Linked DNA regions of Caenorhabditis elegans. The protein of the gene in region 1 interacts with the protein of each later gene in a pairwise test. Each region holds a gene or a part of one and is shown on either strand. Other genes may lie near its edges.

Evidence for each region.
Region 2: the proteins of atf-8 (region 1) and ztf-2 interact in a two-hybrid assay, tested with the Caenorhabditis elegans proteins (one large-scale study listed by BioGRID).
Region 3: the proteins of atf-8 (region 1) and atf-2 come close enough for resonance energy transfer, tested with the Caenorhabditis elegans proteins (one large-scale study listed by BioGRID).
Region 4: the proteins of atf-8 (region 1) and ztf-30 interact in a two-hybrid assay, tested with the Caenorhabditis elegans proteins (one large-scale study listed by BioGRID).

What each region holds. Positions count from the first base shown.
Region 1 is NC_003283.11:6,103,636-6,108,082, forward strand, and holds atf-8 (BZIP domain-containing protein), read left to right. Parts: upstream 1-1,971; 5' UTR 1,972-2,100; coding exon 2,101-2,262; intron 2,263-2,700; coding exon 2,701-2,766; intron 2,767-2,822; coding exon 2,823-2,927; intron 2,928-3,312; coding exon 3,313-3,534; intron 3,535-3,592; coding exon 3,593-3,763; 3' UTR 3,764-3,895; downstream 3,896-4,447. Other genes in the region: cwf-19L1 (CWF19-like protein 1 homolog), read left to right, coding at 4,193-4,285, 4,336-4,447.
Region 2 is NC_003279.8:7,289,725-7,293,468, forward strand, and holds ztf-2 (Zinc finger protein ztf-2), read left to right. Parts: upstream 1-1,547; coding exon 1,548-1,953; intron 1,954-2,117; coding exon 2,118-2,447; intron 2,448-2,500; coding exon 2,501-2,847; 3' UTR 2,848-3,228; downstream 3,229-3,744. UniProt on the Caenorhabditis elegans protein: Transcription factor. Represses gene expression, probably via binding to DNA consensus sequence 5'-[AT][CT]TTCC[AC][AG]-3' in promoter regions. May play a role in pharynx morphogenesis.
Region 3 is NC_003280.10:8,750,070-8,754,434, reverse strand, and holds atf-2 (Transcription factor atf-2), read right to left. Parts: upstream 2,450-4,365; coding exon 2,319-2,449; intron 2,245-2,318; coding exon 1,869-2,244; intron 1,639-1,868; coding exon 1,416-1,638; intron 1,334-1,415; coding exon 1,077-1,333; intron 1,004-1,076; coding exon 905-1,003; intron 817-904; coding exon 697-816; 3' UTR 502-696; downstream 1-501. Other genes in the region: K08F8.7 (MARVEL domain-containing protein), read left to right, coding at 1-161, 217-274. UniProt on the Caenorhabditis elegans protein: Acts as a transcription factor that recognizes and binds to the sequence 5'-[GA]TTA[CT]GTAA[CT]-3', a sequence present in many promoters.
Region 4 is NC_003281.10:8,594,766-8,599,510, reverse strand, and holds ztf-30 (Zinc finger transcription factor family protein 30), read left to right. Parts: upstream 1-1,640; 5' UTR 1,641-1,667; coding exon 1,668-1,812; intron 1,813-1,890; coding exon 1,891-2,010; intron 2,011-2,806; coding exon 2,807-3,022; intron 3,023-3,070; coding exon 3,071-3,232; intron 3,233-3,278; coding exon 3,279-3,721; intron 3,722-3,767; coding exon 3,768-3,875; 3' UTR 3,876-4,201; downstream 4,202-4,745.

The DNA.
Region 1 (4,447 bases):
GTGTTACTGCCTCCTTTAGCTATACATCCGTATTTTAACTTTGATATACTTTAAAACTCATGTTCATTCAAAAAAATCGAATATCAGATACAGACAATTATAATAGAACATAGAAATATGAACTAAATGAAAACAATACTGTACTCACTTATTATAGTCTAAAATGACAGGATAACGTAGTAAAACACACTAAAATTTTGTAGAAAAAGTAAAAAAATTTATAGTGAAAGCTTTGGTAAATTGCCAAGTTTCAAATACGAAAAATTGAAACGTAAATTGAACATAAAAACATAATAATTAATTTCTAATTTTTTATTTTTTTCGTTAATAATTTCTTCCAATTTTTGACCTCTGAAGAGTGAAAACATATGAAATTTAAAAGTGTGGTTGTAATAGGAAAGTTTATTTAGAGTACGGTATATCAAAGTTAAGAATAAAGATGTATAACTGAATGAGACCAATACCACAGTTGTGAAAAATATACCAATTTACCAAAACTCTTTTTGCGATTCATATATTCTAGCTATGTTTCAAATATTTTTATTTGAAGATTGCAGTAGCTTAAATCTGAAATGCTCAACATTTTCAAAACGTCCACATTTTTGGAACATTTGGCAATTTACCAAAAACTTCTACTGACAACTTTGAAAGATCTGATTTTTTTTGAGTTATTTTGTTTAGAAAAATTTTTCACTGGCGATACTCTGCCAACAGTTTTCAAATTGAAGATCATCTAAAATTCCATAAGGAATTTCACATCCTTTCAAAAAACCTATTTAAATAGTTTTGAGAAGTTTTAAATAATTTATTTTGCCAACAAACAAACTTGAGCAGAAATTAAAAGGAAAAAATTAAGAAAATATTATTTTAAAAAAACGCATTACGGTTTGCCTCCGTGTAATTTCTAAATTACAAGTCCTAATGATGTCATAATTTATCCTCATTCCTAGTCTAGCTTTTCCAATTGCCAAAACATCACTTTTATTTCTCGATTGTTCTCTACTAACATTGAAACATCGAATCCCGGATTATGCATTGTTGTGTCTGACCGAATTCATGACTAATAATCATCGCATAACATATGATACGGAAAGCTTCAAGAACTTGTTCCTCTTCTCGAATTTAGATAATTGACTATTGAACGTCTGTCCTTTCAACGCAAGACAAACACATGATTTTTTGATGATGTTAGTTTTAACAACATATTATTATTCAAAGCATTCATAGTACTTATACAAAAATACTTAAAATAATGTGTTCCAATTATGCGGTTGGCAGGCAGGCATTCTTACAGACATACATGCCTACCATCAAAATCAAAATTGAAACTGAACTACAGAAGGCGTGTCTACCATCTTCTATTGCTCAAATATTTTTGGAAGAAGTTGTAATAGTTTTCAAGACAGTTTCAATCATTTTTTTCGTCAAATAAAAAGACACTTTATATGTATGTGCCATCTACGGTAGTAGCGAAAGCTGGGAAAGTTAGCTAAATGGAAACGTGTTTTCAATCTTCGGGAACGCTCTGAGCAACTTGCTAGAGTTTGCAAGAGTTGGTTTAGAATTGGCTGAAGTATGTACGTAAAGTTACTAGTATTTTATTCAACTAAACAGTTTATTAAAACAATTTACAATACTGTATTCCTTTCCCAAGCAAATACAACCAAATCTCTATACATGGAAAGTTCACAGTTCATTCGAACTTTCTAGAGTTTCCCCTTCATCATCATCATCCCGCATCCCTCCCTCGAACAATTAGCTGTGTTGGTCAGTATGTCCGTCGTTTTCAGTCAAAATCCGACCGCTTCCTTTCAACGCAACTTTCACTCGTTCCGACTCGTACCAACACAACATTGCATAATTCTCCGTATGCCTGGGACGAATGGACGGATCGCCTCTGGTCACCCCCTCTTCGGACCGTCCGACCGATGACCCCTTTTGCGGGAGGGCGCGCGCGCAACGGGAAGCAGTGAAATCAAGAGAATTAGGTCAGTGAGAGGACGACTTTCATTTTCGAATTTCATACTTTCTCTCTTCCCACACACACACTTATACACCGGACTTTCTCTCTTTGAAAGCGCAACAAATCTGAAATTACATATGGCTTCATGTCATGAACCATCTGCTTTTAAGAGCCTATGTGCTCATCCTTCAACTTTAACTGCAACATTTGACGTATCACCCTACTCTTCAGCTTTTCATCTTCCTATTCATCCAGCATTACTTTCAAATACACATTTACTACATCTCAATACCTATAATGTAAGTCTATGCAAGTAATAGTAAATCAGCATATACATACATACATTTGGTATTTCTAAATATTTTATGAAACTTTAGGCTATTTTATTTTCCAACTGATACAAACCTGCCAGAATAAATAAAAACATACCGTATTATCCCAATTAGACTAGAACCCCATTATTCCACTTTGGCAGCAAATATTTTGGTTCGTATTAAACATCAATAAGTAATTTATTAAGAAACAATAGGAAAAATAAACAAAATCTATATAGTCAGTTGCCAAATTTTTTTCTACATTAAATTTTGAAAATTGGCCTCCCAGATATAAAATATCAAATTCGAGGAAAAGGAAGTTTCATTAATAGCTGAAATACGGTATTAGGAATTTAAATGATACAAATTTTAGTCAAAATGAATAAACATGAACAGGTGAGGTATAAACTATTATATTTTCAGCCAACAACCTACGAATCAACTGAACGGCTCTTTGAGCAAAACAATAACAATAGTGAAAAGGCAGAGGTAAGTTGAGCCTCAGATTCTTGAACTATGATGTTACAAGCTTCTTTATTTTTCAGTCATGCTCATCGCGAGACAGTAGTCATGATTCATCATCCCCGACATCAACTGGAGGAAGCAGTCGGGATAACGTCATTGTCAGAAATGAATTGAAACGGAAAAAGGTAAATCTAAAAAAAATCATACATACACATAACAATAGAGTTTCCCTGGTAGGCAGCAGGCGCACGGGGAACTTCAGGCGCACGGGGATGCCTGCAGCCAGTTCTGCATTTGGCGTGAACTCTGGTATTTTGGTATTTGGATAGTGAAAATTTGGTAGTTTCTCTTCTTAATTGATTTGCTGAAAGTCCAATTGAAAACTGAAAAGAGCCAGACAGACACTTCTGTGTAACATCTCCAAAAGTTATGTTTTTATTCACTCCCAAATTATGACTAAATCTAGAAGATGCCTTAAACATTATTCTTATTTTAAATTTTAAATAATTCTTAGTTCCCATCCCAGAAATATACCATTTTGAGTAAAAATTGAAACAAATTTATTTTCAGGATCAAGTGAAAGATGTAGCATATTGGGAACGACGACGAAAGAATAATGATGCTGCGAAACGAAGTCGTGATCAAAGAAGAATGAAAGAAGATGAAATGGCTCATAGAGCAACAAGTCTAGAACGTGAAAATATGTTGCTCCGTGTAGAATTAGATCAACTGAGAGCAGAAACTGATAAGCTAAGAGCACTGATTTTGACGACACCTACAACGTCTATTAGTGTAAGTTAATTGATATCCAATCAAAATATAAGTGGTTCTTCAAAATTCAAATTTCCAGATTCCAATTCCTCTACAATCTTTACCACTTCTCACTGCACAAACGGCTCCAGCTTCATCAGTGATAACTACAAGTCAGATGTATGCACCTCTTCCATTAAAAATTCCAAAGACTCCTTCACCATCTCTTCTTCGGAGTACAGTGCTAGTCAGCAACTCTTCTAAAACTTGATCATTTTTGAAATATTACTCTGAAATTATGCATTCATGTTTGTAATTATTGATTAGTTGAGCCAGTACTCGTAAAACTCGAAAAGATATCTGTGATTTGCAAAGCTAACCGATGTAATAAACGTTCATTCACATTTTTGTTCAAAAGGTTCTGCATTTAAAGTACAAAAAATTATGATTCAATAAGAAATTGTGACCGAAAAAACATATCAGAAAAAACTAAATTTGAACAGCCGCCGAAAAGACACCAAATGGACTAGGAAACCGGGACGTGGCCTAGCGTTCCGCGAGTTGTGTGGATTTACGAATAATTTATTGCGTTCTCAATTTGAATGATTTTCCTTGTTTTCAGTTGTTTTTCCAATTGGTTTTTCATTTTTCTTGTTAAAATTAAATAAAAATATTCACAAGAATCAAGATAAATTTTCAGATGGCCACACAACAAGCGAAAATATTGTGTTGTGGTGATGTGAATGGAAATTTTGTAGAACTCATCAAGAAAATATCAACAACCGAAAAAAAGGCATGTTTTATCGATTTTTGGGATTCATTCAATTATTTTTTTTTCTTTAGAATGGCCCATTCGATTCACTATTTTGTGTTGGCGAGTTTTTCGGCGACGATGACGATTCAAATGAGAAAGTTATCAATGGAAATATCGAATTTCCAATTCCAACCTACATTT
Region 2 (3,744 bases), on another chromosome or scaffold:
ACTGTGCGGGGCCGCCTTGAGGTCCTTTCCGACCATTCTGTACCAGGTTGTTCCTATTTGGATTTCCTCGAAGAAGTTGAGGGCGCGAGAAAAAACCGAATGGCTGCAGGAGACGCCGCGGCGATGGTGGTGGTTACGCAAACTGTGCTTGAGCAAACATGTGCCTGAATTGAAAAAGAGAAGAAGACGATGACGATTAGGAACAAGAAGGCATTGAAGACGTTGAAGAAGGTCATCTTTGAAATTATGTTCAAATATGTTTTGGTTCTAGTTACCCTAGATTTCAAAAATACTTGAAGTACTCTAGAAACCCGAGTTGATATTTGTAAGGTTTATGTTAAACTCTACGTCATATTTTGAGTAACTGCCTACCGTAGTTTTTACACTTATTTGAAAAGAAAAAAGCACCTAGCTACTTTTGTAAGTTCATATTCATTTTAGGGCTAACTTACCTGTGCCTGGTAAAAGCCCACAAGACGTCTAGAATTACTATTGCAGTCTTTTCAAATACGTTCTTTTCTGGAATGGTTCTTGTTGCCCTGGATTTCAAAAATTCTCTAGAAATCCGAGTTGGCAATTTCATGCTCGGAAAGTGCACTTTTTTTCGAAAGATGATCGCTCTCAATAATTAACCTTCATAATACACATCATACTCTTCTTTTTTGCATTCACTTACAGTAAGCACTAGATATCTCGGAATACTCTAGTTGGGTTTGAAAATCTCCACGGTCCCTTTTCTATTTTTCTAGCCGTCCCCTATATCCACCTACAGTAGCCTTTGCGCCTGTACCTCTGCAGCACTATGCCTAACTGGGAGCAGGTGAGCCAATACCAAATAACTTTCCCAAAACTCTTTCTCCTCCCATCAACGGTCATCCGATCTCAATATGGCCACGTCATGCTCCAACTTCACGTACGCTTTGGCTCAAAACGAGTTCACTGACCGAACTGTTTGTCCAACCAAAACCTTGTGGCCGAGCGCAAGAAAGAGTTGTGTGTTGCTGATATTTTGTAAAAAGTAAACGTATCCTCTTCCTCCTACTGCTGTTGCTGTGAAAGTCAGTCAGCCCCGGAAGTGAACAGTTCGCTGATGCGACGACCTCCCACCCTTCGGCCTCCTCCTCTTTTTCCCCCAACAAAACTTGTGTCAACATACTGTGGTAGGAGCGAAAAGGTACCGCGCGCCCCATCCGCATTTTGCCATATCCATTCCTTCCCGAATCGGCGCTTGCTTCCTGGTGACCCTTCCCTTATCTTGGAGCAACTTTCACTTTTTCCACTTCTTATCTCCAATTCTCTCGTCTTTCTAGACAAAATAGATATCAGAATGTTCCTCCAGTTCCAAGTACATTGATACTTTTTCTTTCTCCAAATTTTCCCACACCTTCTTTTCATTACTTTTTCTCATTCGTGGTCTACTCTTTCTTATTTTTGATCTCGGTTCAATATTAGAATCTGCAAACTTAACAACTGAAAAAATAACATTTCTAAACTTACTATAACATTTCCACTTTTTAATTGCATTCTTTAAATTTCGTAAATTTAAGATGAATTGTGAATCGTTGCTCACTGCCCTTGACGTATCCACTCTACTCTCAACTCTTTCCTCACCTGAAAAAGAACATCGTCGTAAAAGACGACGTGGTGAAGTAGCCAATCCATCAAACACTCTTGATGCTCTTGTTGCTCGCAAAGCCGACGATCAACCATTTGAAAAGAGATATCTAAGTGAACAAGAAGCAATTGAAGGACCAGATGATGAGATTGAAATGAAAAAAATGGAATTGGATCCTGATGTATCTACACGCACCTGCTCTACCTGTGGTTACCAAGGAAAATGGGTGTCTGAGATGATTCGTCATAAGAGAGTTCATACCAGTGAAAGACCATTCAAGTGTCGTTATTGCTCCAGAACCAGCAAGTGGAAGGCTGACCTTATTCGACATGTTGCAAGTGAGTTCATATTACTTTTCTATTACTTTAGGTATTTGAATTCGCTTTAAACCTTTTGTAATTCTGTCAGATTTGAAGTTTGGCAGCTTAGAACAATTTTTGAAATGTAATCAATTAGCTTCTGCTATACCTGAAAATGTATTCTCCAACCTCAATAATTTCAGAAACTCATGGAATCCGTGTTGTCTCCAAATACAGCCGTTCGAAAGTCTTCGATGCCACCAACAGTTCAATGGATTCTTCGTGTTCTTCAGACTCTGATCGATGCATAATTTCTGAAAAGAGAACAGTGTTCTATCGTTGCCAATTGTGCTCATTTGAAGATGAAAGAGTATCTGTATTGAACAGTCATGTAAGCCATCTTCACAACACCTCCCCATGTGTTTGTCGATGTGGCGCTAAATTTGAAGATGTCCAAGGAGCACTTGCTCATTCCAATGGTCCATGCTCCCATGTTGATATGATTTACAACGTTATGCCAACTTATGAGAAAGGTAAACCATAATTTTAAATAGTTTAATTTCATGATTTAAATTCCTTTTTTCAGCATCTCCATTATCCCCGTGCAGAAGCGAATCCTCATCAGACAGCGGAATTCAGACAGATCCTGAAGAAGAAGCATCGATTATTACATCATCCCTACCAACTCCTCAACTTGGATCATCACCTCTTCTGTTGTCACCAACACTTCCAGTCACTCCATCTTTCCTTCCAGACATTCAATCAGCTCTGCTGAGCCTTCAGCCAAATCCATTAATGTCATTATACTTGGCATCTCTCCTACAATCTTCCTTGTTGAATAGTCCAACTATTCCAACATCTTTTCCACAAATCATCCCAACTACGATACTTACACCTTCTCAACAAGATGAGATGGTTGACGTTGAGATGTAATTCTTAAGATCTTGAATCCATAATCTCAAAATTTATAATTAAAACAATTTATCACTTCTTTACTTGAATATCTCAGGTTCATATACTCGAACCAATATATTTTCTGTTCTACTTAGCCAATCACGCACACAAACCCCAAAAAAACCCCAAATCTTAGGTATCTACTCACATACGAATCTCGTCTCAACTCTCAGCTTCCTGGTGAATTCATATTTTCTTTGCTAATTTTATTTTCCTTATCTGTTTCTACTATACGAGTCATGTTTCTATCACACATCCCTCCATATTTCTCTATCACATTTTTCACCGATTTCTCTTTTTTTCGGGATTGTTCTTATTTATATCGTTACGAATATTTGGAAATATACGCTTGTTTAAAAAAGTATTATCACCACTGCATAAACTCATATTTTAAGCGATATTATTGATTTGTATTTGCTCGGCATTTAGTGCCTCCTTTCTCCCACCTTTTGAGGTCTTCTCACCTTCCGCCCACCTTTTTGCCACCTGCTCCCCACCTTTTGTAAAAATATCACAATTATTCAACAAATACTCGAAATTCAGTCGCGTTTGCCACCTTTCTCCCACCTATTGTGGTCTAAAACAGCAGCGGCAGCGTTCTGGTGACACCAAAACATGTATTTGTGATTTACAACAAAAAATCTCGATAAATAATTTTGAAAACAATAATTCTTACATTTCAAAATCTGCCTACACCAGACCTGGGAAACGCTTATTTTTCCTACCTCATTACTGCCAGTTCACTAACTTGCTTCTTATCTGGCCTGCCTACATACCTTCTTTGTTCCTGTCACGTCCGATTTTCCTTGGTTCGTCTAATTTCTTATTTTATCTAATTTATAAAACTGAATGTTTTTCTACCCGTCGATCAAAGCA
Region 3 (4,365 bases), on another chromosome or scaffold:
TCCACTGGAACATTCCAAGTTGCTTCAGTATTTTGCTTTTTGGTTCTAGTATTTGGACTTCTGGATCTAGGCCTGAATGCCTTCTATTTTTATCGTAATTCAAAAAAGGCGCCAATTTATGACATTCCGCCACCGTCTGTTGCCGTCATCGAAACGGAAAAGTGGGTCAAGATTTGCATAAAATTAGGAAATATTTTATATTTCATGTCCTTTCAGAAGTATACATGACATTTACATGGAGTATCAACGAAAAGGGCAAACAAGTTCTGTTTAATGGAAAAGTAATCAAATAATTATCAATGCTCAACTTTAAATTCACTTTCTCATAATAATTTGTATATATGAAACATTAATAAAACAATTTTCTGATTCAGTTATATCATTCTGAAAAGTTTCCGTTTTCTGGCAAGCGACGGGTGGATTTTAAAAATCGTTTGCAGACTTTACTTTTTTTTGTTGTTTCACCTTTTTTTGTACAGGAAGCAAATCAAAAATAATAACACATTGGTTTTATTAGAAACAATTAATGAAACATTTAAAGTTAAAAAGTATTGCACATGAATGATTGGAAGTATTGCAGAAAGAGAGGAAGGGTTTTTTGAGAGCGAAAGACTTTGATTGGGGGGCATCTAGCGAGAAGACGAAGAAAATTGGCTTTCTATCCGTATTAGTCAAAAATAAGAAAATGGAATGGGATCAAGGGTGAAGGGCAGTAACAACTGATGCTCTTTGAGCCAAAACTGATTTGAAGTGGGCTATTTCTGCTTTTAGCGTTTCGATTTGGGTACGAAGATCTTCATTTTCACCTTCCAAGAGCTGAAAATGTTAAGTAATAATTGATTCAATAAATTTATATCTAAGTTTTAAAATTTTATGTTTTCTATTAAAATTAGTTTCAACTTACCTGAACTCGTCGTGACCTGTATTCGAATACTGCTCGTCTATTTGCTCTACATCTTTTTGCGGCTTCATTGTTCCTTCGACGTCTGTCCACATATTGGGGCTGAAAGTTTTTTTTTGAAATATTTGACATGTATTTAAAAATGTCTTCTTTCAATTCCTTTAAAAAAACTTACCGATTTGTTCGAATAATTTGAGTGATCTTCCGAAGAATGCGATGGAGAGAAAGATGCTGAAGACGATACACTTTCACAGTCTGATTTGTTTCCAGTATGTCTTGGAGGGGAATTTAGCCCCGAAATATGTTCCGTTCGGCTTTGTGGTACTGTAGGAGAAGGTCTTCGCTGTGAAAGAAGAGCAGATAGCAGGGATGGTCCTTGTTGAACAGCTTGGATTACTGGTTGAGGCGTACCTGATGGAGCAGGCTGACCGACTGAAATAAATTTTAGATTATAGTTTCAATTAATACTAGTGAAATGAAAATATGCTCTTTACTTTCAAAAACAACGACTTACTTTGTTGAATAACGCTAGATCCAGGCTGTAACTGAGGTTGAGGCATATTCACGTCAGTTGATGAATCTGGACTTCTTCGTTCAATTTTCACAATTACGCTACTCGATGGAAAACTCTGCTGAGCACTTTCTGATGGTCGAAAAGGATGAAATGCAGATGAAGACGATGAAGAGAATAAAGATGATGCTGACGTTGATGCAGGTTGTTGAGTGCTCGCATAGACCTACAAACATGGAAAAACGTTATGGGACATCTGTCTTTCTAGGTCACGCATTCAGCTGTCAATGTATTCATTAAATTGTTGACAATCTGAGTTGTGTTGCCAAAAAATGACAATGGAACTTTATATGCGGTTCAGACGTTTTTGTAATAGTAAATATTTTTCCACGAGTTAATTTATTTTATTTAAATCATCACAATTTCGATATTTCCAAGTTCAATAAAATAACTTACCGGTGACTGAATAGTTGTTGGCTGTAGTTGACAAAGCTGCAACATTGATGGAATATGCGAAGCTGCCTGGAGCAATGGAACAGTAAGCATTGAACTCGCTTGCAAAGATGCTATTGGACCCGCTGGGAAAAGATTCTTTGCAACTTGGGGAATAATCAGAGATGTTGGAGGCTCTGTTACTGATGGTTGTGGAATTGGTGTCGTTCCTAACTGAGATTTTAACCGTTCGTTTTCGGCGGAAAGTAACATTATTTTTTCTTCCATTGCTAGATCGTTTTGCCTTCGCTTTTCTCGACTTCTTCTTGATGCATCGTTATTTCTCCGTCGCCTTTCCCAGTAATGTTCATCTTTTATTACACTTTCGTTTACGGAATTTCTGGAAAAATAGTTATCAATGTCGAAAAGTATTTAAACTTTCAAAAGTTTCATCAAACTGTTAAAAATTCAAACCTTCTAGATTCCGGGGGAGATCCTTCTGAAAAGTTCGACGAATCCGACGAGCTCGATGAGAACTCGGCGGATGCCGAACAAACCACCGAAAGTCTGGAGGACGGTGACAATGATGCCGAGTCGACGTCCATCTGAAAAATAAAAATAAGATGATTAAAAGTCAAACAAAAGAAGAAAATCAAGAATATAGAAGTACGAAATTTGAAAGAAAAGAACATCGGTGAAAGAAATATGAATACCAAAATCTTTCAAAATGAATTAAGACACAACATTTATATTTTGACTTCAAAATGTTAGTACACATGGTGTATTGAAATGGAAAGTTAGTAGAGTTAAAAGAAGCTGTCAACCTATTTGATGTAAGGACAAATACGTCTTTTTGAGTTGAAATTGACACGATCTTTGGAGATTCAGCACAATCAGAAGTTCAATGTGTTCACTGTTTCCAGATATTATTAATTAATTGTAAGCCATTTTAATTGACCAATGTGTATACAAAAATTATTCAGTTTTTGGTTTCAGTGAAGATGATCTTACGCAATGCTAATCCCTGAGTATCTAGACAACCAGAAAATCACTAACTTAAAAAAAGGTGAGAAAACAAAGTATATCTGGTACAGGTGTGTTCATATGGTAGGTGTAGAGTGCAGTTAGCAACAATTAAGCGGTGTTGTGCCTCTCCTCAGTTGACCTATTTGCGCCTTGCAAACCAGTTAGCCATGGTCAATGTTTCGGACAATGCTTGGTAGATCCTCTCACTCTCAGTCTCTACAATAAACCAGTCGAAGAACAGGATATCCCCTCCGACTTTCGCCCCCTTCTCTCTTCATTGCAGTCCCTTCTCTTTTTCTTCGACCCGTCTCCTAATCATTTTTCATCGTTCGCAACGACTTCAACGCGTCGCCTCCTCCGATCCATGATGATGCCGACTTTTCCTAATTGTTTTCACTTTCCTTTCGCTTTCATGCTTAACTTTCGCTGCTTCGGGTTACGGATGTATGTGTGTCTAAGTGTGAGAAGGAGGAGGAGGTCAATGGTTGAATTCGTCGCATCAGGTCACTAGTACAAAAGGGTAGGTGAACTTTGCGGAGAATTGGAAGACAAGAGGATGAAGCTACTGGGTGGAAAGTGAATAATGAGATACGGCTAAAAGATAAAGTTGAAAAAGATAACGAAGAAAAAATTGGTAGGTTTAGATAAACAAAAGTCTTGAAAAATTCATAAACGCACTCTAGGTCAGGACTGTAAAATATGACCAATGTGAGTGCAAGCCTGATAGAGAAATTTTGGTTATTTTTCACTGCTGAACACAAAAAATGATACTCAATTCTGAAAGTAATTGTTCAAGAAACTCGGAAACGATACAAGCAAATGTATTCAAAATGAAAAAAATGCGTTGAACTAGATGAACAAATTCGCGAAATCGGGCTGGACTTGTTTGTTTTTGATTGTGCACCTTGAAAAAGAGTGGCGAGAGCCAAAATAACCGCCGCCCGTGTTGGGGGACAATCGTCAGCGAAAAGAGAGAGCTATTTTTGTTTGTTTGTAAGGCTCGGAGAATGACGAGAAGTGAATCACAAACAGTGTCCACTATCCTCCCGCACCGCTTCCAAAACTTTTTTGTCTGCAAACCAGAACAGCCAAATTCACTGCATCATTTGATGATTTTGATGACCAGTGAGTGTGTGCCTGTCCCTTGCTGTGTCTACTTCAGTAGTTTTACATGGAGAGCGGATAATACGGTTAGGTAGAGTAACAGAGTGAGAGTGCACTTTTGGTAGTTGATTGCGAAAGTGAGGTGTTGAAATGATGGTATTCTTGTTGGGAACTGAAAGATCGCAGTTCGATACGAGAAAGAGAGAGTGGCTAGCACGATCATATCGTTCGGGAACGAGTCGGTGAAAGTATGCAGGCTATGGGAAGGAAAGTGAATGAAATTGGAAAAAGAGGAGAGAAAATTGAAATTCAATTTTAGATAAAGGTATCTTTACTTGAATCTAGGATTGTCAAGAAGAACTGTTATTTTCTTAGAACTTTTAAATTGGAA
Region 4 (4,745 bases), on another chromosome or scaffold:
CAACCCAACTGCCGGAGCTTATGTGTTCGAAATAATTCAGAACCCATTCCCCACTGCCTTCACATGCTTACAATTTATTGAGATTTTCTCCCCAATTCTAGCACATTTTTTTTCCAAATTCTTTACTTCCACTTCATCTCACCTAGCTTCTCCTGGAAACCTTACGTCATTCCTCTAGTCTGTATCTCTTATTCTTCTATACTTTCTCATCTTCTCCGGTTTGACCTAGTCTTTGCGTATTGACACTTTCGTCTTATTCCCTTCAATCCATTGCCGTCCGTCTTCATCTTTTTTCCGTCTTAGCCGTCTTGGTGACGATGGATAATTAGCGGAAAGGATAGGTGTATTGACAGTTTGACCTTGTATAGTTCATAGTCACGGGTTGCAACATTTCGGTGCCACGTCATTAGGCTTATTACAAGTGCCTAGTTTTAATCTAATGTTTATGGTCTCTTTTTGGGATATGGGAACCAAGTAAACTGAAATTTGCACGGCTTTTTCATTTGTTAAATCTAGAAAAAAGTCCCTAAAGATGTGCCTTTTTTGCAAACACTCCCCCGCGATTAAACTTTAAACCTACTTAGTTTTCTTATGCAAAATCCATCATTAAACCTTTTTTGCTTCACTTTCTTAGAAACAACTTGTCCGACGATTTTGAAGTACAAACCATAAACTTTCTTCGAAGGATTTTCTTTGGATTTTAAAAACAGGTCTCTCAAAAAAGATTAGAAGATTATGCTTTAAGATTTGCCCAGATGATCAAACAATGGCTGATGAAATTTTTAAATCTAGCTGTTTTAACCATTTCATAAATTTCAAAACAAGAGACTATGTCAAAACTTGAATACACTAATAATAGTCCAACATGACCAGCATTTTTTAGAGTTTTCTAAAAACTCCAGAGATTGTCTTTTTAGAGTCTCCTAAAATAAGTGAATACTGACAAATTGCCATTTATTGGCTACTCAACGTTCACACTAAGTTCTTCTTTTTTCTACGAAAGAGTTCAAAATTAAAAAACGTCTTCTAAATAATGGAGCAAAGAGTCACAGTTTGGAAAAGCCTCCAAACAAGTTATTCTTGGAAACTGTTGCCCCAAAAATTCTGTAAATATATTAGGTACGCGAAACCAGGCAATAATGTTGAAAGATAATACTACGATTGCTGATTTCAAGCTCCTCCGATTTACTTTTAAAATTTGAAGCTTCTCACACACACGTTCTCATAAAATTCCCGTGCTCCTGCTGCTCCAAAACATTGAATGCAATGATTCATTCGTTATCTGAGTTAATCTACCGTATCCTTGCAGCACATTCTATTTTAGAAATTCAAGTCATTCTTGTAAAATGATCTGGATTTGGGATTACATGACATACACTAAAAAGAGAATGGATCATTCTTACCGTCAGCGTCATTGATCTGGATGCCTGTAGTTAAGCTTTTTTTATTACTTTTTGCATCTTTCTTCTTCCTCCTCCGTCATCATAATGGCCTTTTGCCTGCACACATTGAAAAGTGCCTATGTGCTCAAAATGCTATGAGCTCACACATCTTTTCTTTCATTCGATTTTCAGATTTTTTACTTCCTCATTTTATCTGCCTTTGTATTGTTTCATGTGTCTTCATGTTTCATGATTCAGCTCAAAATCATGCATCTTGAAATGGATATGAAGCTGGAAGACGATAAAATTCATTCACCCACAAATACAGAGGAGGAAGGTTACGGTAGTGACGTGGAGGTTGAGAATGGAACTGATATCAGTGGATCCAAAGGTGGAAGTGGTGTTGAGTTAAAACGACCCGATTTAAAAGGTTTGTAAGTTCTGGGAATTGTTATTAGTCCACCAAATCTGATTAGGTTCTTACTTTTATAATGATTCTGAATTTCAGGTTCGTTCCGTTGCTCAATCTGTTCAAAAGTTTTCTGTCATTCTTCAAGTCTCTCCCGCCACCGTATGCAGGCTCACTTCAAAAGCTACAAATGCACAGTATGCCGAAAAGATATCTCAAGTAAGTCGGAAGTTATTTATTTTTTATTGACAATGAGGTGATCTTCCGAGCATTAAGAAAAATCCTCAATCACAGATTTTTCGAAATTGAAAGAAAGATAATCATGACATTTGATACAAGAATGAGCTGCACATTTGAGCTGAAAAGCTGCTGGAGACAAAAATATGAAATAGAATGAAAACTTGTTCGATCAGGGACTCAGAGAGCTTTTGCTACAAAAATGTATTAAGCTCCAGTACATCTTTTGATTTGATCTCCTCATTTCCCGGGTTTAGCAGGGATACTGTAGAACATTTTGCAGAGCAAAATTGTGCAGTGCAAAACCACTGCTATATTTTAAAGCATCCACCTATAATATTTGAACAAGCATATTGTTTACACCTGAATTGTTTATCACATGAAACACCGCAAGAAACTCGTTTTTATTGTTGTTCGGGTATAAGCATCTGTATGAACAATTATTGTTTACTATCCATCCACTCTCCGGAGAAAGATTCCTCTTGATCTCATTCAATTTTCACTGTTTCTTCATTCTCCGGACGATTGAGGTCATCCGGAGAAATACGAAATAGTGGAGACGCAGACGCAAACACAGTTCTCACTTTTCGAGAACGGGGACAATTGAATGAGGTTGCGCAATGGATGAGAGTGGGGGCAGAAGGGAAAAAAGTGGAGGATTGGAGCGAAATTGTAAGGGGTCAAATAATGGCTTTGGGATAAGTAGACAAACTTTATAGGAGTACTGTATTTGAATTGGGGACTTTGAATAATAATAAAAAACTATTGTAATTTGCAGGTAGTGAATCTCTTCGTACTCATATGTTCAAGCAACATCATATCTCTCGAATGTACATGTGCCGTTGCTGTAATTGGGCTTTTCCTGATAAATCACTTCTTCATATTCATCTACAAACTGCCACTAACAACAATGACAGCAACAACAATAATAATAGTGTCATTCCTCATGGAGTTATCAACAGAAGCTGCCACCTCATTACAGATCCATTCCAGTGTAAGACTATCAGATATGAGATGAACATAAAAAGATTATTGATTTCAGTAATCCGTACTCCACTTCTAAATCTACCAACCCCACAATCCCTTGAATCATCAGTACCTTCTCTTCCAATTGCAAGCATCCCAATCCCTGCTCTTCAATCGCCTATTCGATCTCAACCTCAGACACCTTCATGGCTTGCAAATCTTCCAAAACCCATACCTAGTAAGTTACATACAAAATATTTGTAATGCTTATGATAATATTTCAGCTACGGCACCAATATTTGTAGCAGATTCAAAAGAAAAAATAAAAGATGAAGTGGAGAAGCCCGATGTGTATACTTCACAGTCACCAACTTGCTCATCAGTCAGCTTCAAGTCTGATCTTAGTGCATTCCATCAGTTGTGTTCTGATCGTGCTCTTATATCATCTCCATTGATTGATACAGCTTCACCATCCTCATCATCTTCTTCTTCAAGGATCAGTCCACGTCATGAATGCTTCGACTGCCACGTCAGCAGGACAAAGATATTGATTTCTGAAAATAAATGCAAACTGTTGGAACACAAAATTGGTACGATGCAACAAGAAAGTTTAGAAGCAAATGCCCAAATGAATGGATTGGAACAAACTGTGCTCAGATTGAGAATGGAAGCACACGCGCTCCGTGAGCACAATGAGCTATTCCAAAGGAAATTGTTAGAGTGTCAGGTAAGATTTCAGATCAGAAAGAAGTATTTCAAAATTATTTTTTCAGAATCTTGCCGTGAAATTTCTTCAAAATGACAAAGCTCACGACGCCTCGGAAATGAATTCATTTCTTCGAATTCTCATAAATAACACAATTTTGACACGTCCTTTTTAGAATTATCTTTTTTCCAAATTTCTCTGAAACCTCAAACTTCGCAAGCTTTACTATCATGTTAATATTGTTTCATTTTTGGAGATTTCTCATAATTTTCGCAATATTTTTTACCAATCTCAGAACTATATTTTTTAACTTATTTCTTCCTGTTTGCGGGATTTTTTGCTTTTTATTTCCAAAACAAATATTAAACAAACAAATCAAAATCATCCGATCCGTTGTGTTCCTTCTGTGTCTCCATCTCCATAATTCTCAGTGCTTACGTTGAATATACATAATTGTAATATAATAATAATACATACTTGATATAAATTTAAATGCTGTATTCTACGTTTCTTCCAGGAAATAACTGAAACTGATCAGAGAAAGTCAAGAAAGTAAAAAAACAGTATAGAAAGTTGAATAATGTGTGTTCCAGAATTTTTGGTACTCTTTCAAAAAAAATTTTTTTTGAAAAATACATTTACAAAAGACGTAAACGGATTTCTTATCCAGAATAAACAAATAACTAAATAAATCCTCTGCCAAATATCCATGGTAACTGAAATCTGAGAAAGCTCATTTCTTAGCTCTTTAATTCCAACAAAAAATCGATGTCCATTTTCACTTAAAGCGACCCAAAAATACCAAATTTAGTCATGAGCCTCTACCAATATCCTGAGCTCTGTTTTTTTTAATGTTAAACTCTGTTTCAGCTAAATTCTCAAATTTCGCAAAGTCAGTTTTCATCAAATTATTATTTTTCATAGCAATTTTGTCATTATTTTGTGGGTTGTTTCGTTGATGTGCTGATAGGTGCTCACATTGAACATTGTCATTGCTGTCAAAATTTGACCATTTCAGGAAAAAAAAACTTGACGAATTTGGAGC